Linked DNA regions of Lonchura striata. The protein of the gene in region 4 purifies or fractionates together with the protein of the main gene of each other region. This does not show direct contact. Links are inferred from orthologs where the notes say so. Each region holds a gene or a part of one and is shown on either strand. Other genes may lie near its edges.

The links.
Region 1: the proteins of CHUK (region 4) and RIPK1 purify together in Homo sapiens (affinity purification with western blotting; 3 studies listed by BioGRID, with this or other methods). This does not show direct contact. The link is inferred for Lonchura striata from reciprocal best matches to the Homo sapiens genes CHUK and RIPK1.
Region 2: the proteins of CHUK (region 4) and AKT1 purify together in Homo sapiens (affinity purification with western blotting; 5 studies listed by BioGRID). This does not show direct contact. The link is inferred for Lonchura striata from reciprocal best matches to the Homo sapiens genes CHUK and AKT1.
Region 3: the proteins of CHUK (region 4) and PIAS1 purify together in Homo sapiens (affinity purification with western blotting; 3 studies listed by BioGRID). This does not show direct contact. The link is inferred for Lonchura striata from reciprocal best matches to the Homo sapiens genes CHUK and PIAS1.

The regions. Positions count from the first base shown.
Region 1 is NC_134603.1:94,905,333-94,913,598, forward strand, and holds the start of RIPK1 (receptor-interacting serine/threonine-protein kinase 1), read right to left. Parts: upstream 3,432-8,266; 5' UTR 3,351-3,431; intron 2,563-3,350; exon of another isoform or gene 1-2,562. UniProt on the Homo sapiens protein: Serine-threonine kinase which is a key regulator of TNF-mediated apoptosis, necroptosis and inflammatory pathways.
Region 2 is NC_134608.1:8,656,670-8,664,980, forward strand, and holds the start of AKT1 (RAC-alpha serine/threonine-protein kinase), read left to right. Parts: upstream 1-5,165; 5' UTR 5,166-5,265; intron 5,266-5,965; exon of another isoform or gene 5,966-5,984; intron 5,985-8,311. UniProt on the Homo sapiens protein: AKT1 is one of 3 closely related serine/threonine-protein kinases (AKT1, AKT2 and AKT3) called the AKT kinase, and which regulate many processes including metabolism, proliferation, cell survival, growth and angiogenesis.
Region 3 is NC_134613.1:23,417,409-23,424,821, reverse strand, and holds the start of PIAS1 (E3 SUMO-protein ligase PIAS1), read right to left. Parts: upstream 3,107-7,413; coding exon 2,978-3,106; intron 1-2,977. UniProt on the Homo sapiens protein: Functions as an E3-type small ubiquitin-like modifier (SUMO) ligase, stabilizing the interaction between UBE2I and the substrate, and as a SUMO-tethering factor. Catalyzes sumoylation of various proteins, such as CEBPB, MRE11, MTA1, PTK2 and PML.
Region 4 is NC_134609.1:37,312,570-37,319,954, reverse strand, and holds the start of CHUK (inhibitor of nuclear factor kappa-B kinase subunit alpha), read right to left. Parts: upstream 3,419-7,385; 5' UTR 3,346-3,418; coding exon 3,289-3,345; intron 3,220-3,288; coding exon 3,125-3,219; intron 1,706-3,124; coding exon 1,591-1,705; intron 1-1,590. Other genes in the region: CWF19L1 (CWF19-like protein 1), read right to left, coding at 3,522-3,666, 3,741-3,838, 4,516-4,635, 5,020-5,229, 6,046-6,125, 6,843-6,954.

The DNA.
Region 1 (8,266 bases), on a different chromosome or scaffold from region 4:
GCATAAATTCAGTCATGAGAGTCAAACATGGCATAAACTAACATCATGCTTCTTTATCTGGGTGTCCCTTCCAAGAATAAGTTTGAAGTCACTTATGTATATTAATTTTTCCATGCTAACAGCAATTAAGCATCTAGGTAGTAGTTATAAGACTTGTGTGTGAAGATGTGTACTTTTGAATGGTGAATCTCTAAAGTTGCATTGATATCACTTGATAGCTTGGGACTGGCAATCAGTACCATATAACCTGGCAAAAAATATCTCTGCCCAAAACTGCAACAAATGCAGAACCTTGTTCCTATTTACAATGTTAATTACCTGTTGCTTCCAATCAAGCTACATGCAGTCACTATGACCAAAAGTCTTGGAAATTCAAAAGAAATAATAACTTAAAATTGTAATGTCTGTTGAAGTGAGCTGTGTAACATTCAAGAAGAGGGAAGTTTTTTTATTAGATGGGAGGGAACCTTCCCCCTTGCGCATGGAAAAATGCTACTGCTTTTTTTTGGTGTTCTTATTAAGTAATGAGGTACTCTGAATAGAAGCTCTCTATCTAATTACTTATTTCAAACCCAGTGTTTTGGGGAACTTTTCAAAGAATGAGTATCACAGGAAAACAATGTCTAGCCAGGCTTTAAAGCAAAGACTACTTATTCTATTTAACATGAGATATTGGCTTATGATAGCTTGAAATGTCAAATTATAAAAAAACAAGGATGGAAGCTCAAAGACTCAGGGTCACCCCAACCTTCTTTGAAATACAGGGTAATTGATACGTATTCTCAATACTAAGGACACACCAATTAATGCATTATGTATCTGTGGTTAAGATAATAAAAATTTTGTAGTTTAATTTAGCCAGCCCTTACAAAAGGTATGCATACTTCTAGTGGTTAATTTATGTTCTGTGAAGTAGCTGTCATCTGTATACTTGATTAATTTTAAAGCAGTTCTTCCTGTATACTATTTGAACATTTGTATTCGGTTGGGTTCATATTTACCAAGTACCAACATGTGTTATGAAAATTTTGAATACCATTTGCTAGAAGAGAGGAAGTTATGTCCAACAATATGACTGGTGTTCTTCAGAAGAGGATAGAACTGTGCTAAATGGGTTTGTGGCATTTTTCTTTTTAACACCATGGTTATGTCCTCTCCTCTAATGCCTAAAGGGCATATAAATTCACAAGAATCATAACCTGGACATTAGGTCATCATGTCATATTCCTAATCACTGTTCAAAAGTGCTTTGCTCAGTTTTAACTGCATCTGATCTGATGCAAATTCTAATCTGTAATGATGTGACCTGCCTGCCTGGTTAAGGAGGAGCACTGAGCACATTAGCACAGTAATATGAAAAAACATGGAACCTTTGTAGTTTAATGATGCTTCCAGCACCTAAGTTTCTAAGAGGTGTTAAACTTTAATTGGAGAAAATTAGCACCTTTACAAGCAGCAAAACTCAGCGGCCACTGAGTTATTAGTCAGTAATGGAACGGAATAAAGAACAGAAGCCAAAGTTGGTATTCCCAAATGACCAACAGGAGACAAATAGAAGGGTTGCTATAGCTGATAACAAAAATATTGCCTCTGTCAATGATGTTTCAAAACAGGGTATCTCAGATCTGTTGCTGTAAATGTCATAACCCACTCCATCTAAACCTTTCCCTTCTGCTCAGATTTTTCAGCTGATGCATCTTTTCACTAAGGAATGATTTCCCCCCCACTTTTTTTTCCTCTTGGAAATAGCAAAGACAATACCTGTGTCAGATCGTCAACAAGTTACACAGGAACCCGTGGGAAAGGGAGGAGAAGCCAATACAAGGGAAACAAAGGTGTTATGCAACACAAATTTTCACAGGAGCAGAGGCAGCGTGGGAAGAGGAAAGGATGGGATCTGTGCAGTAGCCAGTACCCGTGCAAAGGTGTTGCAGTCGGTTCTGGACACAAAAGTGTGCATTCCATATGGGGATCGGGAAAGGCTGTCTCGGCTGCGGCGCCGGGCCGTAGCTGTCGGAGACGGGCGCCGCGGGCGCTGCCACTCGCGCGGCCAAAAGCGCCTGCTGGGCGGCAGCCGGGACGCGCTAACGCGGGGCTGCTCTGGCCTAGTTCCTCGTCGGCCCATCTGCCTTATCGCCCTTCTCCTCCCGCCGGCTTCCTGCCGCCGCGGCCGCCTCCTCTCTACGTACCGCGCCCTCGCCCAGCGCTTCCCGCTCGCCGTGCCCAGGAGCCCCTCCGCAGCGCTGCGGGATGGGACGGGGCGCTAACACCGCCGCCGGCCATCTCACCTCGGAACGTCACCCCCCTTCGCACCCTCGCTCGCGGGGTCGCCACCGTGGTTTCGGTTTCGGTGCAGCAGCGCGGCCTCGTCCAGCTGCCCCCTCTCCGGAGTTCCTGCCTTACCGTGCTCTGGCCTCTGAGAGTCCTGCCGCTTCTCCGGGGGCCGCTGGCAATGGGGCTCGCCCCCAGCGCCCCTTAAATTATGCCTCGGTCCCGGAGCAGGATGACGCGGAGCGAAGGAGGCGGCTCGGAAGGCTCGAAGCGGCGCGGGTGCCGCCCAGTGACTCCTTAAAGTGCCCGAGCTCTCTGCGACCGGCGCCACACGGCGGCTCTATCGCTGCCTCGCCTCTCTGGGCACTACCATACTTGCCTAGAAGTGACTGTGTCGCTTCCTCAGCTCTGTGGGCACCCTGATCGGTGCCGCCAGAAAAATCTCTCACTGCCTGAGATCTCTGGGCGCTACGATCCACGAGCCACACCTTGGCTTTGTCCCTGCCTGAGCTCGCTGAGCAATGCGGTCGGTGCCACACGATGGTTCTATCGCTGCCTCAGCTCTCTGGGCACTCCGAGCCGTGCTACACCGTGACTCTGTCGCTGCTCCGGCCCTCCGGGCACTACGATCGGTGTCTGCAGAGAATCTTTCAGTGCCTGAGCTCTGAGCACTGCGATCGGTGCCACAAGAGAATGTGTCACGGCCTGAGCTCTCTATGTATTACGATCATTGCCACGCCGTGACTGTCACCTGTCGAGCTCTCCGGTAAGTACGATCGCTGCAACACCCTGCCTCTGTCACCTGCCGAGCTGTCTGGGCACTGCCATCTGTGCCACACGGTACCTCTGTCGTCTGTCGACCTGTCTGTGCACAGTGATCGGTGGCACACGATGACTGTGGCACTAGCTCGAGCTCTCTGTGCAAACTGATCGGTGGCATAGCCTGACTCCGTCAGCCACCGTGTGTCTGTGTCGCTGCTCGAACTCTCTGGGCAGTGCGATCGGTGCCACAACGTGACTTTGTCCCTGCCTGAGCTCTCTGGACACTGCGCTGCCCCCGCTCCGCGCTCCTGCCTTACCGTGCTCTGGCCTCTGAGAGTCCTGCCGCTTCTCCGGGGGCCGCTGGCAATGGGGTTCGCCCCAGCGCCCCTTCAATTATGCCTCGGTCCCGGAGGAGGCGGAGCGAAGGAGGCGGCTCGGAAGGCTCGAAGCGGCGCGGGTGCCGCCCACTGACTGCATTAAGCGCTTTAGTGCTCTAGGAAATGCGAGCGGTGCCGCCACAGAATCTGTTCCTGCCCGGGCTCTCTGGGCACTGCAATTGGTGGCGCACAGGCTCTATCCCTGCCTCAGCTCTGTGAGGACACTATATTTTTCCCAAGAAGTGACTTCGTGGATTCCTGAGCTGTCTGAGCACACCAGTTGCTCCTACCCTGTGGCCCTGTCACTGCCTCAACCTTCAGGGCACTATAAACAGCGTCGCATCTTGACTCTGCCGCTGCTCCATCTCTTTGGGAGCTGCGATGGGTGCCACACCATAACTCTTGTCACCTGTTGAGCTATCTGGGCAGCCCAATCGGTGCCACACCATGGCTCTCTCACTGTCTGAGCTTTCTGAGCATTGCGATCACTGCTGCATGGTGACTGTCATTGCTCGAGATGCTTGGGCACTCCAATCCGTGCCACACAGTGGCTCTATTACCTGTTGAGCTCTCTGGGCACTCTGATCCGTGCTACACCGTGATTCTGTCACTGCTCCAGCCCTCCGGGCACTGCGATCAGTGCTGGCAGAGAATCTGTCCCTGCCTAAGCTTTCTGGGCACTGCAGTCGGTGCCACACAATGGTTCTGCCACTGCCTCAGCTCTATGGGCACTACGATAATTGCCAAGTGACTTTGTTGCTTCTACAGCTCTCTGGGGACTACGATCAGTGTCACATCTTGATACTGCTGCTGCTCCATCTCTTTGGGGATTGCAATAGGTGCCACACCGTAACTCTGTCACCTGTTGATCTATCTGGGCGATCCCGTCAATGCCACAATATGACTCTGTCACTGCCTTAGCTCTGGGCACTCTGATCTGTGCTATGTCTTGACTCTGGCACTGCTCCAGTCTTCCAGGAACTACAATCAGTGCCAGCAGAGAATATGTCCCTGTCTGAGCTCTCTGAAAATTGTGATCGGTGTCACACGGTGGCTCCATCATTGCCTCAGCTCTCTGGGCACTATGATAATTGCCAACAAGTGACTTTGTCTCTTCCTCAGCTCTCTAGGCACCCTGATTGGTGCCGCAAGAGAATCTGTCACTGCCCGAGATCTCTGTGCGCTATGATCCATGCCACATCATGTCTTTGTCACTGCCTGAGATCTCTGGGCGCTATGATAATTCCCAAGAATCAACTTTGTAGATTCCTGTGCTCCCTAGACACTTCAATCACTGCCACAATGTAGCCCTGTTTCTGCTTCACCTCTCTGGGCACTAGGGTTGATGCCACACATTGATGCTGGTCCATCTGTTTGGGGGCTGTGATCAGTGCCACACAGTAACTCTGTCACCTGCCAAGCTATCTGGGCAGTCCGATCAGTGCCACACCATGATCCTGTCACTGCCTGAGCTCTCTGGGCATTATGAGCCTTGAAAACCTGCTGATGCTATTGATTCTGAGAGCAGGGTGGGACTTCAAGGCGTTGGAAATACCTTTGTCTATGGAATATTTAGTGCTGGATATGTGGGCATTTTTTTGTGTTCAGGAAGGCCCGAGGCAGGAGTTTGTTTGTCAACAGAGTTACTAACACAGATGACAGCCCTAGGGACAGTTGCAGGAATACGTAACCAAAAGAGTCACTGTAAATCATGTAGTTCAGCCTCTTCTGGATGTCAGGTATGTAGTTAATACAGCTTCTTTACAGAAGGGCCTTCCCACTGCCATTCCTCTTTGAAAAGTTTGGTGATAACGAGTGTCTAATGTCTTTACCATGATCTTTCCCACTCTCGAGAACTGTTGCATTCCCTATGATACTTTCAAGTGGTAGTGACAGAAGAGCAGCAGCATATCAACGTGGTAGGGCAGCATCAGCCCACAACTATGTTTTAAATTTTTTCCTTTGATGGTCAGCAATGCAATATAGGAGCTCCTAAACCATCCATCTACCCTTATCTGCTCTTCCAGGGATGGCACTGTCTGCTTTGTGCCTTGTGTTGGCCCACACAAGGCTGCTGGGAGCAGGGGCTCCTCCCTTCTGGCTTTCTGGAAGGTGTCGCATGGGAAAGACAGGTGGGACACGGAACGATGCGGGCGACCCTGGGTTTGGAGAGATAGCACAGCCTTGGTGATCACTTTCAAGGAGAACTTTTCTCTCTGATTATGAAACTGCCCTATGATGGGCAAACTGAATAAACAACTTCTTTCTAGGATTTTGCAAAAAGAAAAAAAAGAAAAACGGAAGTTGACAGTGGAATGAGAAGAATTGATGCAGGACCAGCACATTCCTGTTTTCCACCCATGCTGGATTAGCTGGTATTCAGACAAAACTGGAGTTTAATGCTCCGACAGCTCCTGATGTAAGGGCTGATCACACTTACTGTAAAGAGGAGACTCAGGACCAAATGCTGACTTGTCACACTGAGCTCACTGTAGTTTAAATGCTGCAATTTTATGTCCATCCACACTGTGAGGTATCACAAGGAGAGCTTTATTGAACCTGCAGTCCAGAGAGTCTGGGACATTTGTCAGGTAAATAAAGCAAATGCAAATATAGACATGAAATATGTTATAATTGGCCACCATCTCTGGTGGGCCAATTATTCAGTTTTTGTCTTCTGCAAGCCCAAGCATCACAGAAAACTTTGGATTACATTTGACTTCTAAGGGTTTTTTTTCCCCTTTTTATGGTCAGTTGGTTTGTCTGGTTTGCTTTTTCTGCTGTTTAGCTTTGCATTGGGTATGGGGCCAAAGGTGTGGTCTAAAGATGGGAAGAGAGATAGCTGAATTTATTAGAATTGCTTGGTTAAAAACTTGTCAGTCTCATTCAGTGGTGATTTGCCAACAATCACTATGCAAAGAAAGAGGTTTATTTGTCATTTATTTGTATGTGCTTGGAGGTTGGTGTTGCCAGTTTTGACATTAATTCATTAAATGAATAGGGAAAATAAACTGATCCAGAAATGCAAACTGAATTTACAGAGAAATGTCTTAATTCTGATAGAGGAGAAGGAAAGATTCTCTTGAAATGGACAAAATGATTGGTACATTTTTAGTGCTTTTCTCAATAATGAATTTATCTGAGCAGAAGTCTTCAATTTTAGTATTAATGAGAATTTAATAAGCCCATTAGTTTTCTTTCAACTTTAACTGAACTTGCATTAATCTCAACATTCACATACTTTGTACTACAAATCTCAACCAACTTACTAAACTTAGTGCTACCATGTGTGGGAGCTGGCATGTGTCTGCCAGATAGTGTCAAGCACAGTATCCTCAACATACAGGTCAGTCTGACATTCTTCATCTAATAGTTAACCCCACTAAGCTCTGCAATTGATCCCAAGCAGTAAGATTGGTTTGACATTGCAACTTCTGCTTTTACCTCAATTTCCTTCTTTCCTGAATAGTCTGCTAATTGAACACAGTGAATAGAAGGATGATTTCTCTTCTATGCAATTTTAAAATTTGTGCTCAGATTTCTTTCAGTAACTTTAAGTTGTTCTCCTTAAGTCTTTAAGGCATGAATCTGCTTTCTCCACAACTTAGATGTGTAGTACTTTCTTCCTTATTCCTTTTCACTTTCCTTTTCCTATAACAAAGCTGTTGAGACAAAGCAAATTTTCTGCTTCTGCAACCTAAAGACTCTGGCTCACGTACCTCACAGCAGACATCTGCAACAGCTTGGGGCAGCTCTGCTTCCTGGGAAATGTCTCTGTTGAATGTGGCCCTTTGCTTCATATGGGAGCAAACAGGAAGACTGACCTTTTCCTGTGGTGGCATTTCCCAGCCTGGTGTATCAGTTTACACAGAGCCTCCAGAGCTTGGGTTCAGCATGTTTATTATCCAATTAGTCCCTAAGGAACTGTAAGGCTGGGGTGTGATAAGACTGCCACAAAGCAGGTATGGCAGATGCATAGAGGCTTAGTTGTCTTTGACAGGGACTCAGGGAATGGGTTCTTACAGTGGCCACAGTCTTTTAATATCAAAGTGCAAAGGCAGCTGTTAGGTGAGCTGGTCAAAGCAAGAAATTCAGTAGCTAAGTGAGAAACCCACCCCCTTGCCATATGCACAAACAGGGTTAACAACTCTAAAGCACAAAAATAACACTGCTACATTTCCAGGTAAAAATCCTGGATATTAAGAGCCAGACAATTCATTTATCCCATAGATCCTGACCCATATACAGACAGTGCATCTGCAGGCTTTCGGGTTAGTGCTCTGCCTCACTATCTGCTGGTGCTGGAGATCTCCAAGGAAGCTGATTGATGCTGATGCTGGAGGGGAAGCAAACACCCTCCAGACCCAAACACCAACACTGACTGGTGTGAGAGGGCAGGCTACAGACAGGATTCCTTTTTCTCTCTACTTTGGAAAGATGCATACTTTACAAAAGGGAGCTGTAGTCTACAAAGGAAGGTAAATTAATGCACATATCACTACATACATATTTATTTTTTTCTTTTTCTGGCATCTGTCATAGCTTTAATATTGCTATATAGATAGGATCTGGAGAAGCCTAGATTTAATCTAGAGAAGCCTATGGCTGCCCACAAGGATTTCCAGCTGTTTAAGACACTTTGCAATGGTACATCCTTTTGCAACACTAGTCATAACGTGGTTTTTGTTGCTCCAAGGCACAAATATAGCACTATCACAATCCATCTTGGGCTTTTAAAGGTTGAGTATGGGCACCATATTCCCTGGCAAAGGAAAAAGAAGTGTCAATTGGTACAAAAAGTGTTAAAATAAATGTGGCCACATACTGTTTCACAAGCAGCAATGGTATAATCTGCC
Region 2 (8,311 bases), on a different chromosome or scaffold from region 4:
AAGCAATCTCCTCTCTTCTAGCATTATGAAAATGATAAAAACACTTGCCTGTCCACTGGGTAAATGGCAAAGGTATATGCACTTTACAGGATATGGGAAGCCCCTGTCACCATAATGCTTAAAACCTTAAAAACTTGATTGAAACTCTTGCTCTTTAGGAAACTGCAAATGTCATGATGAAGACTGAGCTGCTCTGTGCTCCTGTCAGCTGGAGATCCATGTGGCCAGAACCAGTGCTCCAAGAACCCACTGCTGAGCCTGTGCCCATCCAGCAGAGTGGCTGCTGCTCCTTTGACAGAGATCTGTATGTGGGGATCTGCAGGGGTAATCAACCACTGAAATAGCCCCCAGGTTAATATGCCCACATTGTGCTTAGCTCTGTAATTTTAGGTGAAGAACATAATCAGCACTGGGTGTGTGAGTGTTGGGAATGCAACAGGAACCTGAAAGTTTTTGGCTTTTATTTTAGTATGTGCCTATAATGTCAGTACTTCAGTCTCAGAGGATTTGCCTACCTGACTATAGTTAAGATCGTGATGTTCTCTCACACAGATCATTGGAGTTTAGCTTTTTTGGGTATCTTTCCTGATCTAAGAATTCATGACAAGTCACTTTACAAGGAAGGGAGAAAACCAGCAGTTTGAAGCAGACTTCAGTCCCTTAGGATCAAAGCCCAAGTCTTCTGATGAGCCTACAGCACCAAACGGTGCCTAGTCCAGACTGAGAGTCGTGGTTATTGCAGTGGGGTATGGCATAGAACTGAATATCTGCTATTTTTGCATGCTTTATTTAGTGAATCTTCTATGCAAACCACTTGGGTTCCTGTTTACGTATCAAACTCCCCACAGCATATCTGCCCCTTGTCATGGCTATCATTATTCCTGGTGAAGAGGAGTGTACTGCTCTCACTTGGGAGTTAACAGCAGTGACACCCTGCCATCCTAGGGCTGTCTGGCTTTAGCATCCCAGGAACAGAGGCAGGAAACCACAGCAAGGTCTCCTGTCCAGCCTATTCTAGGACTTTCAGCAAGCCATGAGGAAGAGCAGCAAGGCCTCATTCAGTGCTGCTCTCCAGCAATGTTACCAGTTCAGATGATAGCAGTTTTGTAGGAAATTAATTGGAGAATTACAGACGAACTCATACATCTATTTAGTCTCCAGATGAATTTCTATAAAGCAAATGCACAATGTTTCAGCATGACTATATTTATTATTTTTTTCCAGAGAGCCTGCTATTGTTTTGCTATTGAGAAATACACCTTCAAACATTGGATTAGTTAAGTTTTAGAAGCACAAGTATGTTTATTATATTTGGCACTGTGAAAAGCACTTCTAATTTCTATTTATATTGAGCTAGATTCTTCACTGAGACCAAAACTGTGTTGTTTGTTTAAAAGCTATTAATGCCTAGACTGAGATACCAGCTCTGTGATCCTAATAAGATGTCATACAGTTTTTTCCTCTGAGTACAGCCCACCTTTTAAAAAGGGAGGAACAAATTCACTGTTGGCCCACAGAGGTGCTGTCATTACTTGAATCATGGAACAGAGCTTGTTCTACTGGGGGTTAACTCAGTAATTCCACTTCATCTTACCATTCTAATCTTTCTTCTAATGCCTGACTGTATTTTTATCCAAAGTTTCATAATTTAAAAATTTAGAAATAATTTTTAAAAGTGATACTGAATTAATTGTTACCTATATATGTGTTAAAAATGGGTGGGAACAGGAGTGCCTGCTCTTTTGGCGTGGTATCAATACACTGTCTGGAAATCATCCATTCTTTGCCACTAAATCCTACATTCAGTATTTTTGGGTAATGTAATACCAAGGCTCAGTTGATGCATCTTATCCTGAAGCACTTAATAAACTAGAGTTAACAGATGTGAAATTTGAAGAAGCGCTCAGGGAATCTAGGGACTTCCCTGAAAATTAGGGTTTATAGACTATAATCCCACTGATGATAGCTGAGTGATAAAACCCACATTGTTTGTATTTATAACAATTCTTGAGTGATTTCATTGTTCTCAAAGAAAAAAAAAAAGCTGCTTTTGTTCATTGTTGATACAAAGTCACTCTTGTTGTTGCAGACCAGGCACTTCCTACTTTACCTGGGTATTTTTATCCACAGTACTTTGCTGTGTTTGAGAGATAAGCCCTTACTCCAGACTCTGAATCACACTTCCCTCTCAGATTTGGGGAATGTCAGATCCAGATCGGGATCCAAACTTTCTAGTTTGGGCCTGTCTTTCATCATGGTAAATCAACAGTCGGCAAATCTAAACAATATGTTCATGTTGAAATCTGGAGGGTTTTTTTAATTGTACTTCCTTTCTAGCAAACAACGGACGTTTATTTTCTTCTCTTCAGGACAGAAAACTGTTTACTCTGTGATCTTATTTTTTAAACTGCTGCTTCATTTGCAGGGGGAAGTCCTAATGACCTTGCTCACCACGAAGCCTGGGAGCTTATCAATCAGGAGAGGGTTTGTCAGGAAGGTGAGAAAGCTCTCCTGAAATCAGATCTATTACCAGAGATCCCCCTGCCCCCACTGTCTCACAGCCAGTGAACTCCTATACTTACATGCACTCTTTACTTCTAGATGTAACTACAGCCTGAAGACTCAAAATTAGTTGATAAATTAATTTTGTCCGTGTTTTTGTTAAGGAAAATACATGTCCTCTGAGCTGCCCGCAAGTTTTCCACACTGATGATGAATTTAATTTTAAATACATCTTTAAGGACTACCTACATTTTAATACACACTACGTATTTTGTAAGTAATGCATGGTAGGTCAAAATGTGATCACAAACCCAGATTTTTCCTTTCCATTAGCTTTACATCTTAGAGAGTTCCCACAGCCATTCAATTCTGCCCTGGGTAACTGGGCCAGTACCACGGGGCCTGCTTACTCTGCTAAAGTACCTGAATTGTACATTTTTAAAATTGTGCTGAAATATGCCCCAGTAAACCTAAAGGTGACACACAGAAAATCCCACACTGGCGTAGCTGCTCTGCCAGCAGGAACTACTCTGTACATTGGTGGGAAAGGAGGCATTACTCTTTCTTCACCCTCCATGAAGAAATGGGAAACATTTCTCCTCTGCCTTATCGTTGGCTCCTCTAGCACACCAGCGTACCCAAAATCCAGGAATCCATTTGACACTCGGTAACCCTGATTACAGATATGATCAGTCAGACCTAGCTGATCAAAACGGAAGAAGAAAGTGAATTTCAATAAACATTTACAATCGTCAAAATGATGTGGTAAAAAAGCCTCTTATTATATCCAATAAGTTTGTAAAGGCAGAGCTGTATTCCCTAGCTTTACTGCTGTAAATGCGTTTTATGCACTTTTATATTGCCAACGGTGCATAGCTGTGGGAAGATGTGCCGTTTCCTAAATTCCAGCCAGCTTCGGATTGCAGAAATGTGATCATCAGTGATCGTATGTTTCTGAAGAAATCCAATCAGTTCTTACAACCCAGTTAACGTTTATGGCACTGTCAATTTGAGAATAAGCAAGATCTCTTAATGACCGAAGAAGACAAATTTTGATAGTGGAAGGGCAGAGAAATGTTAATCTGTCATAGGGGTTTCCACAGCATTGTTTTTAGAGCAGAATGGCTCTCAAAAACCTTACCAAAAATATTGTCATGCTGTAAGCAATAGTTTAAGCAATTTGTCATGTTTTGAGCCATTCCTACTGTGAAAGCAGGATGGCCTCGAGTGCAACATCCAGAATCACTACCCCAGCCCCTCCATGGGCAATTCCTTAATGCAGCCTGTCCAATGTGGAAAGGGATACTGAGCATCCTCCCAGGTACTCTGGTACCTCGTTATTTAATCATCTGGTATATTATAGGAATACTGTAAGGGAAAACTCTGAGGGCAGAGAAGCAGAACTGGCATCCCATGCTTTTGGGGAAGCTTGCTGGAAGCACCCCAAGAGGTTTAAAGGAGCCTGGCCCTTCCTAGAGTCTAAAATGCTGGGGCTGCCTGAGCCTCTCACCTATGTGGGGCAGGATGCCTCATTTTTGGGGATGCCCTTTGTCCAGAGAAGGGCACTAATCTGGTGAAGGGCCTGGAGAAAAAGTCTTACAAGGAACAGCTGAAAGAGCTGAGGGTTTTTAGCCTGGAAAAAAAGGAGGCTCAAAGAGGATCTTATAATTCTACAGAACTCCCTGACAGGAGGGTGTAGGCAGGTGGAGCTCAGTCTCTTCCCGGACAATCAATGACAGGACCAGAGAACACAGTCTTATGCTGCACCGAGAAAGGTTTAGGCTGGACATTAGCAAAAAATTCTTCACAGGAAGGGTGTTTTGACATTGGAATGGGCTGCCCATTCCAGTGGGAGGTGATGGAGTCACTGTCCCTGGAGGTGTTTAAGGAACGACTGAAGCGGCACTTAGCGCCATGGTCTGGTTGACGTGGGGCGATCGGTCATAGTTTGGACTCGCTAACCTGTCTTTTCAAACCTAATTGATTCTGTGATTCTGTGAAATTGTCCATGCTCCAGGCAGCCGGCTCACAGGCCGAGTCAGGAGAAGCCTCGTCCCTCCCCTCCCGGGGCACAGCGTCCCCACCGCTCCGGCCCAAGGCCGGGCCGGTGCCAGGGGAAGGGGGAACACGGAGCCGCCCGGGGCCAGGAAACGCCGCCCCCGGGGCCTGGGGCCGGGCCGGCGGGTGGGCGGAGGGGCCGGGCAGGCGGGCGCTGCTCCGCCGCGCTGCGGGAGCTCGGAGGGTGGCGAGGCCGCGAGCCCCGTCCGGGGAGCGGCGCTGAGCGAGCGGGGCGGCCCCTCGGCTCGGGCGGGAAGCGGCGGCGGCGGGGCCCGGCGGCCGCGCCGCGGAGGGTGCGAGCGAGCGCCGCGGGACGAGCCCGGCCCGGGCGGCGGCAGCGGGCCCGGGGCTGCGGGGGGAGGCGGCGGCGGAGAGAGGCGAGGGGCGGCCTCGCAGGGCGGAGCGGCGGGGAAGGCGAGCCGGCTGCCGGAGCGGGCGTGCGAACCCCACGGGCCGAGCGTCTGCGAGAGGGGGAGGAGGAGCCGCCCCGCCGCCCGGGGATGGTGAGGAGGAGGCGGCGGCTGCCGGGAGCCCAGTGAGGCCTTCGCTCGGCGCCCGCCGCAGAGCCCGCCCGCCTCGCCGGCCGCCCCCTTCCCCCGCTCGCTCGCTCGCTGGCTCGCTCCCCCCTTCCCTCCCCTTCCCCTGACTCCCTCCCCAGCTCCCTTCCCCTGCCGCCGCCGCCGCCTCCTCCGGGGCTCCAGCCATGTAAGTGACCCGCTCTCCGGCTGGGAAGGGCTGGGGGAAGGAAGCGCCGGGGCCGGGGCCTGCTCGGCGCGGCCGCATTGTGCGGGGCCGGGAGGGAAGGGAAGGGCCGGGAAAGGGGGCGGCCGCTTTCCCTTCGCCTTCCCCGGGTGTGCGCTGCCCCCGCGGCCCCCGGGCACGGCCAGGCGGGGTGGGGGCGAGGAGGCCCGGGCTGCGGCCGCCCCGGCCGGTCGGTCGGTCCTGCCGGCGGCCCGGGGCGGACAGGAAGCTGTTGGCTCCCCGGGGATGCGGTGGGAGAGAGGGCGGCGGGGCGGGGGGCTCCTCCCGGGCCTGCCCCCGCCCCGGGCCCTGCGCGAGCATCCCCCGGGGAAGCGGCGGTGGGGGCGGCTGGGGGGTGGTTTGTGCTATTTGTGAAACAGCGGCGAGCAAAGTAGCCGAGGGCCCCCCATTTTCCCACCTCCCCCGCCCCCATTTTCTCCTCTTGTCTTCTGCGGCCGCGTTGTTCAGCCCAGCTCCGCTTTGCGGACCACTGAGTGTTTGCCGACGGGGTTGTGATTCCCTCCGTGGGCATTTCGCGTGTGTAGGTGGCTGTGCAGCGCTTGTGGACTTGAATTTTTTTTTCTTTTTTTTTTTTTTTTCTTTTTTTTTTTTTTTTTCTTTTTGCAGTCGTGTTTTGCAGAGGTGTAGGGAGCTGTCTGCCGAATTCCCCCCCACCCCTCCAGGTGAAGCAGCTGCCGAAATGTTCTTAGAGACTTGTAGGACTTGTGTCTGCTTCGTTGTAAAACCCATAATCAAACATATAAACGTTCTGGTACTTTCAATTTATTTTACTGACAGGACGCTAGTGATGCAGATACAGCTTGCACCTTATTGGTGGTGTGTGCCCCCCCTCCCCGGCCACCCTTTTGGGAAATATTTAACTGTTTTGCTTTGTTTTCCTACCACCTTTATCATGTAAGAAGCAAATTAATGATTTGCGCTAGTTTGTTTTATTTATACCACAGGAGGGACGTACATTTCAAAATACAGTTATAAAAGGGAGTTACTAACACTTAATGCTGAAGAGTATTTGTTTGCAGGTAAATAAATTTGACATACTGCATGACTAGTAATTACTTTCATGTAGTAGTTTCATGGTGACAGCCACAACATTTGTCTGAGTTAGCAGATTTAAAGACCCTGTGGAACTACCTTTGATATTTTTAAATAATAGGGTTTGTGTTGTGTGTGGCGTTTATAGAACTGTTTTTGGTGTGCAGCAGCGGTAAATCAAATTTAAAAATTGATCCAGTGTCCACAATTCACTTTCAGCTCCAGTGTTCACTTTACAGTCTTATGAAAATGTCCTGTAAGTGATTACATTAACAATTAAATAGTTACACAACTGTCTTGATTTCTTTGGGGACTGAACAAAACTTCAATTACAAATACTTCAAAATGGAATTTGATTAAATCTATCTCAGGTAGGCAGCGAAGTTCTGAGCAGCACAGTTCTTAAATCATATGAGCATAAACTGTAAAAGGACTTGTTCTTGTTTGGGAACATAAAGAAGATTTTGTCTGGGCTGCAGAGGGGCTTATGAAGAAGTCACTTTTCTGCCATCCCTCAGTTTTGAAATAGGTAGCTTAGTTTGTCCTATCAAACTGTTGTTGTGTTTGCAGCATGGACAGTTGGATGTCGTAACTGTGGCCCCTCGCCTGAACAGCGTTAACCTCCTGTCTATTGATCAGCAGAGGCAGGAGAACACAAATATTTCAAATTACTGTTTTGTAAACCTAGATTAGGCTAATAGATTGAAAGAAAAAAAAAAAAAAGGGTGAGATGTGGCTGTAGAGATTTTTGTTTTCCAATTACCATTTTCCCCATAACTTAGTATCTGTGAATCCGTTGCGAACCTTGTGATCTGCTGCACTTGCTGCCATGAAATTCCAGCTTAGATGTGGTGTCATTGGACACACACAGCGCACAGTAGTAAATACTGGTGGCCACACCTAAGTCGTGGCCCACAATGCCTTTTTTGTAAGGGAAGCTAAGATGGTGGCACAACCTGGTCCTTCTAAGCTTCCTTGAAAGCTGTCTGCCCAGATTTGGTAACTGGGTCATGGTGCAAAGCTGCTGCAGGCACAGAGGGCCTTGAGCACGTTGGAATCACTGTTGCTCCTGTGAAACAGCCAGGGCAGGATTTGCGTAACGCGGGAGATGTACTTCACTGGTCAAAGCCTGGTGGGAACATCTATCTGTACGCTCCACTTGAAATGTTGGCTGGAGCCCAACTTTGTTGTGTCTGTGCTGTTTAGGTGCCGTTGGCTGTCAGCTGGGAGCACTGGGAGGAGAGAGTAGGTTGCTGGTGGCATCCCGTGTAACGGGCCTGAACGCACCGCCCTGGCCCAGTCCAGTGCTCGTGTACCTTGTCTGCTCTCATGAAAGTGTCATGTGGCCACAGTAGGCAAACTTGGGTAGCTGGATTCCGTTTTGCCTGGTCCTGCTGCTGTGCATTATGAGAACGTGTACGGATGTGTAGCATGTTTGAGCTCAGAGTGTCCTGGGAGAATCACGAATGTGCCACACCAGGGCAGTGGGCATCAGTAACTGGTGGTGTGACAGGGCAAAGTGTTAGCCCAGGGGAATGCTTTTTTGTAATCTGCTTTGTGATCTGGGCTAACAAGTGCAGCCCAGAAACAGTCTGATGTGCCAGGACTGAGGCTGGTGGGTCAGTCTCCCTTTAGTCCCTTGCTTACTCTCCCTCATAAAGATGAGGTGATTACCATAGGTGCTCCTGCATCCCGTAAGCTTAAGCTTCAGCTTAATGGAAGACTTCCTTTTCTTTCTGATCTGCTCTAGGGCATGAGTGGAAACAAATACAAAACTTTACATTGAAAAGAGGACAGGAAGTACAGATTTGTATTTCTACTTTCTTAGAGAAAAAAGAAGGTGAGGATAATGTATAGAAGAGAATGAGAGAAAGAGCTCTAACACAATTCTCCCAAATACGGAAAAAGGGGTTCTGCTCCACCTTCTGTTGGATGGTTGGTTTGACTGATTCCTTAA
Region 3 (7,413 bases), on a different chromosome or scaffold from region 4:
GATCCGTGGTTAATTGAATTGATTATTGCAAACTGTGTAATGATTTCCAAAATGCTGGAGTGGAAGGCGAAGATCACAACAATCTAATAACCAATTTAAAGAGATGTAAGAAATATTGAAGGAAAGATTTAATCACTCAAGTATACTCCTTCCAATTAGAAAGAGCTTTAAATAGCTTACCTTGAGATAAATTAGAGTCTGGGTGCAATTAGACAGGAATAGTAATTAAGATCAGGAAAATTCACATACGCCTCAGCCTATGGAGTGAGGGAGAACTCTGCAGCAGAACAAACTTTGCAGTTACCTTGTTTCAGCAGCAGAAAGGAAAACATCCTGCTTCAATTTACCCCAACCTTCCCAGTCCCAGGAATTCAGGAACCTCACCAGGCCGGGATCTGCAAAGCCAGGTTTCACCTTATCTGATTTTTTTTTTTTTCCCCTCCACAGAACAAACAAAAATGGGGGCAAAAAAGGCTGAAAGGCCCTCGCTTGTGGTAAGGAAATAAATTAGAGGAAAGGCAATTTCATGATTAAAACGCCATGAAAAATTGTGGCAAGTAAGACTGACCACTGTTTTTCTGAGGGAGCAACAACTTTAATTTTCCTTTGGCGATAGCACCCATCATATCACATTCCCTAATTTCCACATGTCACATTCCCTAATTTCCCCATACATAGCCCCAGGGTTCTCTGCACAGGAAGGCAACAAAGTTTTAGAAACTTGAGTAAGTTTTTCTAACAAACTTTTTCTGGCCAGGCAAAAGAGTCCCTGCCCAAGTATTACAGTTGATTTTAGTTTTTTAAAGTCACTAAATCTGAAATCAATCCCATTTGCTAATTAATCAGAGGAGAACCGTGCAAGGTTTTACCTAAGAAAATAATTAAAGGAATTCACTGGTCATTCTTCAAAGAGCAGAGTCTTAATCACAAACCGTCCCTTAGCTACTTTCAACTCCCAAAAAAAAGAACTTAAAAGCACGTTTTCTGGGGATTTACTCCTTTTTAAAAAATCCCCAGTGTCCCCAGCCACGATGTCAGAGCTTTCCACATTTTTCTGAGGAGCTCCTGCAGCACCTGAGAGCCTGGAGAGCTGCAGGGTGACAGCTCCCAGCCCAAGCAGGAGATTCTGTGTCCCCTCTCCTTCCTGACGGAGCGGCTCCCACCCACGCAGCTTTTTAATTCTGTACAGTCTAAAGACAAAAAAAAAACAAACAAAAAAAAATCAGAATGTCCTGAGGTCTTCCAAGCATGAATTTATGAAGTAATTACTTTTTTGTTAAGCAAACTGCCAAGCTCCCGTGGCTGCAGAAAAAAAAAATGCCCAACTTTTCACTGCCATCCTCCAGTCCCTGCCTGCAAGTACCACTCCAGCCGCAACCTGAGCAGAAAACTGAAACTGAGAATAAAACAGCAACTTTGGCATTCACCCTCCACATCCCTGAGGCAGCAACAGCACTTTACGAAACATAAATTTTAAAAACTCTGATTTTTCTCTACCGGTTCTCGAGAAGGAGACTTCTAACAGTGATCAATGAAGGGGTTTGGAATGACTTTATTCCCTATCTCCCATCTCTTTGAACTCCCTTTGAGTCACTCTTGCTAATAAAGGCATCACGTAAAGCCAAGCTGGCTGCTGTGCACCACCAAACTCTCGCTGCTACTTACCAAAACACACTATTCCATTTGCCACGCTAAAATTGACAAAAACTTGAGCACTGGAATCACATCTTAACCCTCTGATCTCGTTATGTGGGAAGCAGAGCTTGAAAAGAAAAAAGGCTTAAGGACTACACAGCTCAAGCAATACAATGTGGTCTGAAGACACGCAGAAAAACGAAGGCCAGAGGAGGATTTAAAGGAGGATCTGAAGGGTCCTGACCCACACAAGTCAGAACACACCGAAGATTTAATATTTCTTAACCCGCTGACAGCTCCTTAAGCATCTAAAAACGAAAGCGCACGGTACCTTTGATAGTCAGAAAACCGAGATCTACCAAACCTCTAGGAAAAGACCAAATATTTCCTTAGTCATACCCGAGCCATTCCGTAGTTTATGTTACACGTTTAACACGCCTGTGCCCGTACCCATTTCAGACCCACCTGATTCCAGCCCTTCACTCCGCGAACTTTACAGGAGGAGGAGGAGGAGGCAGGAGCCCTCCCGGTGAATAAGGAGCCTGTGAAAAGTGCGAGGAAACTCCGCAACTTTTCACACCCTGCAGGGTGTGCGGGGCACAAAGTTTCGGGGGGGTCTTTCCCTGGGATTTTCGGGTGGGTGCCTACCACCCTCTACCCTGCCACCGCTCTTCCTCAAAATCGCTTTAGGAAAGCCCAAGTTCCGCGTCGGGCAGAGCGGGAGGAGCTCCTTCCCTCCGGGCTGAGCGCCCGAAAAATCCCCCCAAATCCCCCCCGAAACCGCCCCGGGCGGAGCGGCCGCCGGCCGGGCGGCTCGGAGCGCCCCGTCCCCCCGCGTTCCGCAGCATGACAGGGACCGCCGCCAGCTCAGCGCCGCGGAACTCCTCCACATCTGCCTGTGACGTTCTTTATTTACCGGCGGGCCGCGCCGCCGCCGCTGTCACCGCCGCTGCCGCTCCCGCCGGACTCCCCTCGCAAACTTCGCGGGGCGCCGCGGCGCCGTCCCCCCCGCCGGCCCCCACACCCCGCGGGGGGCTCCCCGCGGCCGCCGCCCTCACCCGCGGCGGCGCCGCCCGGCCCGGCGGCCGCGGAGCGGAGCCGCCCGCGCTGCCCCGGCTGCCGGCGGGGCCGCCCGGCGGAGCGCGGCCGGCGGAGTGTGTGTGTGGGGGGGTGCGGCGAGAGGAGGCAGCTCCGCGCTGCGCTCCGCACCCACCCCGCCTCTCAACCCGCGCTGCCAGCGCGGCCCCGCCGCGGCCGCTCCGGCGCGGCTCATCCCGCCGCGGGCCGCCGCCGGCCGCGGCCCCGGCGGCGCCGCGGGGGGACGCGGAGAGCTGCGCTTTACCTTTAGTTCCGCACTGTCCGCCATCTTGCGACTCCGCGCGCAGGCGCAGTGAACCCCGCCGGGACGCCGCCGCCCCGCCGCCGCCGCCCCGCCCGCCCGCAGCGCGCAGCGTTTGAATCGCGGCGCCATTTTGTGCCTCCTCCGGCCGCGCCGCTCCGCGCCCTCACGCCGGGGCTGCCGCTTCGCCGCGGCTCCCGGGGCCGCCCCGCGGGGCTGGAGCCTCGCCCTGCCCGTCAGCTTCGCCCTGCCCGTAGAGCTTCGCCCTGCCCGTAGAGCTTCGCCCTGCCCGTCGAGTTTGGCGCTGGTGGCGGCGCTCCGTGAGGGGAGCGCGTCCCTGCGGGCGCCCCGGCTGCTCCCCTCAGCCCCGCGGCGCCACAGGCAGCGCCTTCCTCCGGTGGTAAATGCGGTTATTAACACGGGACCGTGCAGCTGCGGTGCGTGAAACAACGCCGATCACCGCGTTTTTAACAGTTTTAGAAGTTTGGTCATAATAAAATTATTATTAAAATAGTAATATAATTAAAGTGTGAAAAACGCTTGGTTTTTAAGATTTTTTAGAAGTTTAATAATAATAAAATTATTATTAAAATAGTAATGTGATTAGAGTGTGAAAAAACGCCAATCACCTGTTTTTTTTAATTTTTTAGTTTAGTAATAATAAAATGATTATTAAAATAGTAATATAATTAAAGTGTGAAAAACGCTTGGTTTTTAAGATTTTTTAGAAGTTTAATAATAATAAAATTATTATTAAAATAGTAATGTGATTAGAGTGTGAAAAAACGCCAATCACCTGGTTTTTTGAATTTTTATGTTTAGTAATAATAAAATGATTATTAACATAGTAATATAATTAAAGTGTGAAAACTGCTTGGTTTTAAAGATTTTTTGAAGTTTAATAATAATAAAATTATTATTAAAATAGTAATGTGATTAGAGTGTGAAAAAACGCCAATCGCTTGGTTTTTAAATTTTTTTTTAAGTATAGTAATAATAAAATCATTATTAAAATAGTAATATAATTAGAGTGCGAAAAACGCCAATCACTTGGTTTTTAAAATCTTTTAGAACTTCAGTAATAATAAAATTATTATTAAAAAAAAATTATTAGAGTAATAAAATTTAGAGTTAGGACAAATGCAAGACAATAAAAAGCAAAGAATTACGGATGTCTGGATGCTCTCGGACACTAAGTCACAAAAAAGCAGACTTTGTGAACAAAGGAATAACCATAAAAGCAACAGCCTGTTGCATATTCATGTATCTCATACATGATGCATAAATTCTTTGCAAATTAAGAACTTTTCTCCTTAAGGTGGAAGAATGTTTGTTTTTTTCTGAGAAGGAGGAACTTTGTATGGGCCCCCTTCGCTGCCATCTCTGTGTGAAGAGTTTCTCGATTATCTCATCCTCCTGCTTGAGCTTGTAACAAATCCTGTATCACAGAGTTTCTATTTTAACATTGTGTTGTAACCTAAAACTGTATTTAACACGCCACTTAAGAGAATTAATACAGCAGAACTTCCTAATGTTACACATATAATATTCATTGTAACATTTGCGAGAAGCCAATCATAAAATACACATTTTTCACAGATTTTTGCTACTTAATGCACAGGTTTGAGACCTCTAGGAGTGGAAAGGGATGAGGCCGGGGTACCTCAGTGGACACCAGCTCCTGGTGTGCACCAAGCTGGAAATTATCAGTTTTTCAGGAAATTACAAGTTTTATTTCAGGGAATTTAAAGTAACAACAGATTTGAGGTCCAAATGCACCCATTTCATGTCAGTTTTGAGTGAAATTTGTGTTCTTCCAACAGCAAGCCAGAGGGGAAAATACCTACCAAAATCCTGCCTGGCAAGATGATGCATCAGTTGTGAATTTGGGAGGATTAAACGTTAGTGTTCAGGTCATTATAGCTTGATTCAGCTTCTTTCTACCTGGGTGTTATTCCCCAAATATTGATCACCATGACAATTTCTCTCCTTGGCCTTCACCTTAATGCACAGAACGGAACAAAGAACAAAATTTCCACTTTTTCCATAGCTGCCGTAAAATCCATCATCCTCCATTCCCAAAGCACTTAGAGGATGGGCACTGAAAATAAAATAAAGATTTCATGTCCCAACTCTGCAGATTCAAGCAAGGAGTGCAGGGAACCTGGGGTAATTACAGAATCAAAATTTATAACATTTGCCTCAGAGGGTTACCCAGGATTTAAAATTAAGTGGTTTGTGTTGAGGGAAGAATGGGAGAGAGGTGTCAAAAGTGTTTAAGGAGCTTTTTGATGCAATGCTGTTTATTGGTAAGAATATTTATGTGCAGTCCTGAGGAAAACAACTCCTAGTAAAGCAGGGATGAGAATGGAATGGTATCAGGATGTGTCACATTCCATCAATCCATGACAAAACTGTATGGATTTTGACCAAGGTGGACAGGTCACGTATACTTAACCTAGAAAGAGAACACATATAAATTATATGAGCATACATAAATAGATGAACATATATAAAAATAAATATATGAACGTATATATAAATGATACGTGATTTTTGATGGCATCATGTTTATGGTGAGCATATATAAAGTCCTGATACGCCCAGCAAAGCAAACAACTCATATCTCTTTCCAAACTTTCCATTTCCAAGCGTTTCACCCAGAAACATCCTCCAGACTGGCAGAAAATCGGGGGAGCTGACACCCCTCTTTCTTCATGCCTCATCCCAACTCCATCGGTGGCCCCGCTCTCCTGGATCCTGCCACACTCAGGAAACGAGCAGCAATTAGAGGAGGCTGATGAGCACACCCGGACAATCCTGCGTGCAATGAAGATTTCTCTCCGCGTCTGAAAGGCTGGTTTGGGGAGGGGGCAGGGTGAGACAGCTAAAAAAAAATAAAATCAGATGACTCCAGCACGCCCACAGCTCCCAGAATTAGCCCATCTATTTCAGTGGTCTGAGGCAGCCCAGTGCAGAACCCTTAATTTGAAATTATTAAATACGTGTCATAATCGTCATCTAACATGATCAATGAGTTCATGGCGAGCTGAAAGAATTCGGCCTTAAAGCTCTGTAATTGTGTGGAGAAAAATCCTTGCTTTATTTCAATTACTTTTGATTTTTTTCCCCCCCTGAATGAGGCTGCTGCACAGCCAAACAGCTTTTCCTCTGCTTCTCCACTTCCTACCAAATTCAGTGGGATGTGGACGTGTGCTCCGAGTGTTTTGCTAAATCATGGCACAACACTATCAAACTTGACACGTGGCCATAAACCACAGCGTCCTCTCTCAAAACTGCCTTCAAATAAAACAGCCCCAGAATGGCTTCGGCTGCATTAAAATAAGGAAGCGAACTAAAAAAGGGGATACAGAAAATCGGGTTTAAAATGCTCCTGCCGGTGTTTTTTACAGCCAAACCTCGCCCAGGCTCTTCATTTTTTTTTTTTCAGTTTGGGCTTTTTGATAGTCACTCCCTTTTCAGTGCAGAATATACTGGAGGATGGAGAAGGAACTTAATGAGAAAAACAATCTGCGCTTCTATTTTTAGGCCATTATTTACATGTAGTGAAATTTTGTTCCTCTCTGCTCCCGAGGCTCGGCTGATGGTTTATTGCCAAAAAAAGCCTTTGTCAACACTCAGTCATTTCCAGAGGTGCTCGCAGTGGCTCCAGCTGTGGCAGTCATGGCAGCACTCAGATCTTAAAAATTAAATTAAAATTAAATCTTCAATTTTTCTCTCCATTTCCAAAAGAAAATACTGGGATGCAGCTGGAGTAAGGGAGAACAGCCCCAAACAATCCTCAGGTTGTCTTGCTTCTGAGCTAAAGCTAATATTTTTTTGAGCTTTGACCTCTGCGGAGAGAGAAAATGAAAGATCAAGATTTCCCTCAAACCTCCACAATTTTGATATTTTCAATTCCCAATTTTCCAAAGTTGTGTTTCCCCCTTTTGGCCGCATCGCAGTAAAATAAATGACTTGAGAATTTGTCTCTTACCCCCCCATTTCTTTTATTCTCCTCTTCTGTAACTTCCCCAAAAACGTATCGTGTCACATAACTCACATGCTCAAAGCCATGTTCAGACACAATAATATTTTTAAAGATATGCATTTTTTTCTGTGAACATGTTGTTTTCATTAGTCCGAGTAGCCAAGAGTTTCTCCTCTTTGTCTAATAATCCAAATTTGCTCTTTGCCTAAAAGTAACACAAGGGCATTTCTGAGCCTGAATAAAACTGATTTAATGATAGACTCTCAGCTATTATTTCTTGATAGAAAACACGACCAAGCCACTAAAATACCTTTACTGCTGAGGCTGTTGCAGGCATGAAATGTGTGAAACACCCTTTTCTGAGGGACAGAAAGAGAAATATTTTAGTGAAAACTACTTGGCTAAAGGAGGAGACAATGGAGTAGCCAATATCTGATTTAAAAAAATA
Region 4 (7,385 bases):
TTACTGCACTCAGGACTTTTAGAGATGACTCAGATGCTTCGGCCCTCATGAGGGATTCACAAGGAGAAATTAATGAAGTGAAACACAAATTATGTCAAACAAGAGTAAGATTTAAAGAACACAAGCAGAAATAAAACAGATTATGGTTATTTTTAAAGCAGTACAGAACATCACATGAAATGAAGTATGTTACTTCCTGAATTATTTCAGCATGTATGCCACACCTAAGGATTCATCACAAATGAAGTGACCAAACACTGCATTGCAAGTAGAGCTAATTTCTCAGCCAGGGTCTCTAATCTGCCTTCAGGGAGTCTCCAAACTTTTACTGCACTAATACAACAGCCAGATGTCTCTGGGACAGTGGCCAGGTGCCTGTTTCTGCAAACCTCAAATGCTTTTGTATATATGCTCCTTCTTTTACTGCGACTTAAACCTTAACAGTGTTTCTTGGACTGTTTTTAACAACTCAAAACCATATAAAGAGATGGGATTACTGCATTCACCACTGGCTGACGTTCCCCAGAGCTGTTCCCCAGGTGATTTCTAAGCAAATCCTGATGGGGATTTGCTGCTTCACCCCTCTAGAAATTGCTGCTTCCTGAATCCAGCTGTAATGGAAGGGGAGCACAAACTCTACCAGGTCACCAAGCCACTGCCTGGAGAACTACTGAAAGGCTCCTTTATTTTTGGGTGTTGCCAGTGTGCAGATTGGCAGTTCCCAGTTCAACAGGAATAGCAAAGCTTCAGAATCCCTGGAGGTCCCAGTCCAGCAGAAATAGGCTCACTCCCCATGCTGACTGCAACATAACACTGGATACACATGAATCCCAACCAGTCAGACTCTGAACAGATGGAGACACAGCAGCAAAGCCAAACCTGCTGGGTGGCAGCAGCTGCACTAATGCTAAAGCAGCTCCACGAAAGGACACACCAGGATAAAAGAGTATCTGCCCTTGGCTTGCCCTCTGCTTTCAAAAACACAAGCCTCGTTTCCCACACACATTTTTTTTCCCACTCTACATTAACTTCCTCACACGTGTACCTGATGCCTCAGGGTTTAGCTTTTATATTTTTTAGATTCTCTGCTGCTTTAGGGTGTGGGTTTGAGCTTCACATTATGGGATGGTGAGCTCTCTGCACAGAACAGGGAGACAAAACAATTCCTTCTCTAGCTGGGGACCAAGGACAAGTGATCCAAATCTCAGGCCCAAGAGCACAAACAATGTGGGCTGAAGAGAGAAAAACTAGCAGGATGGGACTTCATGGGCTGGAGCTGTAATTGGATAATTAACTCTAATACGCAAATGGAGCAGAACTAAAAGTGAGAGACCCCGAGAGCAGTTGTGCATTTTGTGACCATTTTGGTTCATCTTGGTGTGCAGCCCTGGCTGGGGTCCTGTGCTGCCCAAGGTGGATCCATTGAGGAGATCCTTTTAATAAATCCCTGCTTTATTCTTTAACTCTGTTCTAGACATCATACCCAAAGAGAGAAGCTCCACAGAGCAGGCCTGGTGACAGGAGCAGCGCTACCACGCCCTGTTTGGGTTAGTGGTATCTGGTTTTTACTGAAAGCCAAGCAGGCATTACCTTGCGGAGGTCGCCCCCCGAGCAATACTCCATGGCCAGGAGAGGAACGTCGTTCACCAGGAAGTTCATCTCCTCAGGAACTTCACAGGCTCTGACCACATTGGGATGGTTCAGCCTAAGCACACAGAGAGCTGGATGAAAATTCTCTTGGGAGAATGAGACAACAGCTTGCAATGTAACCACGTTTTATGTTCCAGGGACAGCTTCTGTTCCCCACAGGAATCCTTACTCACTCATCAGCTGGTACCTACCGTACCCAAATGCATAAAACCCATACCTTGGGAATACACAAACCAGTGACGAGCAGAACTGATGTCTCAAATGCAAGGTGCAGGACTTTGGTGATGGGGATCCAAACTCAAGCTGTGAATTCTTGCACCATCCTGGCAGTGTCATTACATGTGTGTGTGTGTATGTAGGAACAGACTCCCCTAGCCCAGTCATTTCACAAAAACCCCATAACACCTGTGTAACTGCACCAGGCAGGTGAAAGCCACATTCAGAGGGAAAAATTAACTTCTGCAGCTGAATTCCAGCTACAGAAACAGCTACTTCCTGACTGTCTCTAATACACGCTAGTCTTGGGAATTAATATATCCAGATGGAAATGAAAGCAAATTATTCCCCTCTACATCTTCCAAAGCCTCTGGACACCAATGCAAGAGCAGCTCATAACTCAGTGGTTGTTTCCAGCACCCAAATCAAACATCACCCAAGCTTTGACTTAAAAATTCGTGTTCCCTGCAAGTGGTTTCCCACGTCATGGCACACAGTGAGCAGGTGAGGGTAACAAAGCGACAGCAGGAGCTCAGAAAAGCCCTGAACACCAGGGTCACTGCAGGCCTTGGGGAGGACAACTCAGAGCATCCCTGCTCCCACCAGTGGGACAGAGGATTTCCTGCTCCAAGATCTCTCTTTCTCTCTCAGGAGCAGTTCTGTGAGACCCAAACACCCAGAGGCAGCCCCCACATCCATGAGACCAAAGCTGTCCAGCCCTGTTTCACCCACTGGAGAGGGAGGCTGGGCAGCACATAGCATGGACTTTCTCACAAGGAAGTGGAAGGAGAATTTATTCTTTACATTCGGCAGCGTGACAGAAAAAAAAGCAATTCCAGGATCCCCTGGTTGCTAAATCAAAACCAAAAGTACCGCACGGTATGGGAACATGTGGGCGTTCCCAAATCACAACATCAGAACTCAACCCACAGGGTGGTGTGAGTTTGGAGGAATTTCGATGGGTGAATAGCCCAGGTGGCACAACAGGGCAGGGGGCTTGGGGATCACCAGCTCCCAGGCCAAGGCAGGAGCTGGGGCACTGGGATGAGGGATAAAGCAGCACAGGCATGCCAGGTGACAAGAGGCCCAGGGGCTGACCCCCGGCTGTCCCCACAGCGCGGTCCCATCTCCGCAGCCGGTCCGGGGCTGACTCCCCGCACTGCCCGCTAGTCCATGGCCTGACCCCCGGCTGGCCCCTCTCCCTGTCGCTGCCGCCGTGCCGAGCCGAGCCGAGCCGTGCCAGCCGGCCCGCACTCACTTCTTCATGATGTCGATCTCGTGGCACCAGCGGTCCTTGTTCTTGACGCTGAGCTCCAGCCGGCACGACTTGATGGCCACGCGGTCGCCCGAGTCCTGCGGGACACAGCGCCGTCAGCCGCCCCGGCCCGGCCGTGCCCCCCCCGCCGCCCGGCCCGGCCCCACCTGGTGCTGGTACAGGCACACGTTGCCGAAGCCGCCGGTGCCCAGGCGGTCGCGCATCTCCCAGGGCCCGCAGCCGCCGGCCGGGTGGCCGCGCAGCGCCGCCCCGGCGGGGGCCCGCTCGCCGGCGGCGGGCGCGGGGGGGCCGGCCCGCTCCATGGCTCAGCCGCTCGCTCCGGCACTCCGCCCTCACTGCCGCGTCACCGGCCGGCGCCGGCAGCGCGCGCAGCGCCGCCTCAGTCGCGGAGGGAGAAGTCGAAGGGCTGGAAGTCGCGGCGGAAGGCGCGCGCCTGCGCCGTCTCCTCGGGCCGCGGGGCGGCGCACTGCCGCCAGTCCGCGCGCTGCGGCTGCGCCAGCAGCGCCTCGCTCGCCAGCACCTCCCTGCAACGACAGCGCCGTGACGTCAGCGCCCGCCGCCGTGACGTCACGGCGGGAGCGGGCGGGCCGGCGCGCACCTGCCGAACTGCAGCGGGAAGCGGCCGCGGATGCGGTGGAACAGCTTCTCCCCCGAGTCCAGCTCCACGTAGAAGTACGGCGTCCCCGGCTGAGCCACCTGTGCCGAGGGAACCACGGAAGCACAGGATCAGCGCGGCTGGGAAACACCTCCATCGAGCCCAGCCTGGGACCCACCACCGCCCTTTAGCTGGACCACGGCGCTGCCACGCCCACTCTGCACCCTAAACACCTCCAGGGTGGCGACTCCACCACCGCCCCAGGCAGCCCCTTCCTGGCCACCCTTCTGAGAGCAGGTGACAGGCAGACCCTCCTCCCGGCCACTTCAGCTATGCCATGCTCTCTTCTGGGAGGAAATTTGGAAAAATAACCCCATAAACTGCCTGAGGTCAGTGCCTCACCTCCAACAATACCTTCCATGGGAGGAAGGAGCAGTGGGTCACTTCCTGGTGGGATCACCTATGACATTTTGTGGTTTAATTCTGCCGTGAGTGACTACATGAGAACCAGGCAGGTCTCGTTGTTCCTAACCTCATCTAGGTCACCCAGCCTACTACATACAATTTTTGGAGGATGAGGCCATGCTCACATTTCTTAGCTGAGAAATCATCTGTTGAACCTGGGAACTTCTCCCAGAGCAGAATCCTGGTACATCCCCAAACCAAGTCGATGAGGTTCTGCCTCCAACAGCTTGGCCCCACCCCACACAGTGACCTCAGAGGGAAACAGCTTAGGCAGGACACAGGGGGAGCAAAGAGGTGAAATCTGGCCCCATACCTGCGCGATATCAGAGTGCTCTGGGATTTCTAACAGCTCAATCTGCTGCTCCTGTGCTTGTGTAATAAAGGCCTCCTTGATGTCTTCAGATGTACAGAGGTCCAGTGGGACAGGGATGACCTGGAGAGGGAGGACATTTCCATAAAAGAAGACGAGACAATGAATTTGCAGAAAGCCATCAGTCCATCACTGGAGCTCATGGGCTCCTCAGTACAGCTCAGCCTCATCACACAAGATAGGGGAGCACCCATCTCTACAGGCTTAAACTTATGAGACATTTTACCCTGTAGGAGCTGGACAGAGCTGAAAACCCCAGGCTTGAAAGTTCTCAGCACAGCCCTCTCCTTTCTCATCTCTGTGGTAGTTCTGATACAGCTCTGATACACTTACAGACCTGCACACACAGAAACCACCATGATAAACCCCAAAATTACTCTTTGTGTTCATCTGGAGTTTATATTCAGTGCAAGTTTATGTTTTCCCAGAGCAACACCCAAACCATACCTGTAGCTGCAGATGCTGACTCCTATAGTTTCTTTCAAATAGGACATATCTCTTTCCCTTGCTTCTGAAAAATTCCTTTAGAGCAGCCTTGTACTTGGTCACTTCTTCCAGCACCTCTGAAGACAAGTCCACCACTGACTGATAGTGCCCAATTGGCAAAATGAGGACGTGGTCAGGAGACAAACCCCCTTTGGCCAGGGCAAGGTAGCACTAGAGTGAAACAACACACACCAGTTACTCACTGTGCTGTAGGAATTCACCCTCTGACTACTCAGTCTGAGTAGCCACAAGTAAAGGAGAGTCTTTTATCTTGCTTATTATGGATTCTTTATTAGCCATTTTATTTTATTTTTACACTGAATTTATTAATCACTAGAAGAATGAGAAAGAGGCAAAGAGACTGCCAAATGACAAAAAAAAAAAATCTTTTGAATGCCAGAGGAATGTTTTCTTTGCAGGGAAGCTGCTGAGTGAACTTCACCAGTGAGGCAGGAATTTCTTATTCTGACACAAAAATCCACTTAAAAATTTGAACTAAACCTGTGGACAAACCTGTCCCTGTAAGTGGATTATGCTATACAGGAGCAGAAAGTGCATATAACAATGATGGACTGAGCTTCAAAGTCAACATCTTGAAGTACATCTTGGACACCTTTTTCATCTCTATAGAACAAAACTGTAACCAGCCACCCCAGAGAGATCTGGCACTGGTGCATCCTGCTCCCAAAGCAAGTTCCAGCTTTTTTCCAGCTGGAAAAGTTTTGCCAGATGGTAAGAGAGGGCTGGGACAGGAAAAAATATTCTGGCACTGGAATCCAGCTCTGCTGCTGGAACAAAACTGGGCCACACTTCACTTTTTTTTAAAAGCTTATGTGCTTGTAGAGGAGATGCAAAGGAACTGAAGGCAAACCCAAGAGCCAGCTGCAAATAAAGTTTGTTTTATGTTTAAAATCGGAGATTGTTATTTTGTTTTGCCATCTCTTAGCATGATTCTGACCTAGCAAAGCCCATGCTGCAGGTACTTACATGTGTGCCAATACTGACAACCAAGTGCTTCTCCACCTCTGGGCTGGCCAGGCAGAACCAGCAGGGCCCCGTGGGCTGAGCTTTGTTGGGAAAGAAATCAAGGATTAGCAGAAGGGATATTTGTCACAACACAGACAACCTGGTATTTTCCAGACACCCTTCCCAGTTTATAAAGTGCTGAAGGTGTCAGAAGGACACAGCTCTGGCCAGGGAAATTCCAGCAAGAAAGGAGGTAGTGGCAGTCAGACCATGCTGACTGCCATTCTCCTGGAATGCTGTAACCTAATGAAGGAGGAGCTTAGTAGTTCCAGGAGTTAATAGCTGCAGCTCACTAATAAGAAAACACCAGCAAATGATAAGCAAACAAATCAAAATGAGGTAAAATTACTGCACAGGTAAAGACAAGGGCAGATGCTGTCAAACACACTTGTCAGTTCTGGTCTATCCATCACACCCAAAACACCTGGATTCACACCCAAACTGTGATACCTGAGCTGAGCTTTTTGGAAGTGCCATATCTGGTTCAGAGGGTAAATGCCATCAGCCCAACCACAACCACCACAGACCCAAAGAGCCTTGAAACTACACTCTTGACCCTTCTTTCACCTACTGAAGCCAATCTTCCCTTGGAAAAGAGGGATCCTTCATCTTCCTGCATTCCCCCAGCAGCTGGCAGTGACAGAGCTCTCTGGCCAGCTGACACCGACAGCTCAACAGCTTGAGGAACAACTTGGAGTGATGTGGTCCATCCAAGGCCTCGAGGGAAGAGCTCAGGAAAAAAGCATCCTCATACTTACGGGGTTTCTTGGCTTGCTTAGGTTGGGAGTCCCCTCCCTCTTTCCTCTCTGAGGGACGTTTCTTTCCCTGATGCTTGTTCAAGTCAAAGAAAAACTGACAAGCTGGTTCTTCCTGTTCAGGAAATGAAAAGTGAATGAGATGTTCAGTTAGAACTGCATCACAGAATGTGACAGGATATACAAGAATTTGGTTTTTTCCAGAATCGTTTAGGTTGGAAAATCCCTGACAGCCCACCCTGTGCCCAGTGCCCACCCTGTCCCCAGCCCAGAGCACTGAGTGCCACTTCCAGCCCTTCCTGGGACACCTCCAGGGATGGGCACTCCAAAGCTCCCTGGAACAGAATGACCTGTCCTCCTAGTAATGCACCTGCTACAGTCAGGGAAAAACTTCAGGGAGAGCAGCCCCAAATGATTATGCTCTCCTATTCAGCCTTATGCTGAACATTCAGAATTGCCTGGTTTTATGGATTATTAAAATATTTTCATTTGCCAGCCAATGCCAAAAGAAGAGCTTTATTTCTTAGAGATGTTAACGTGTCACAG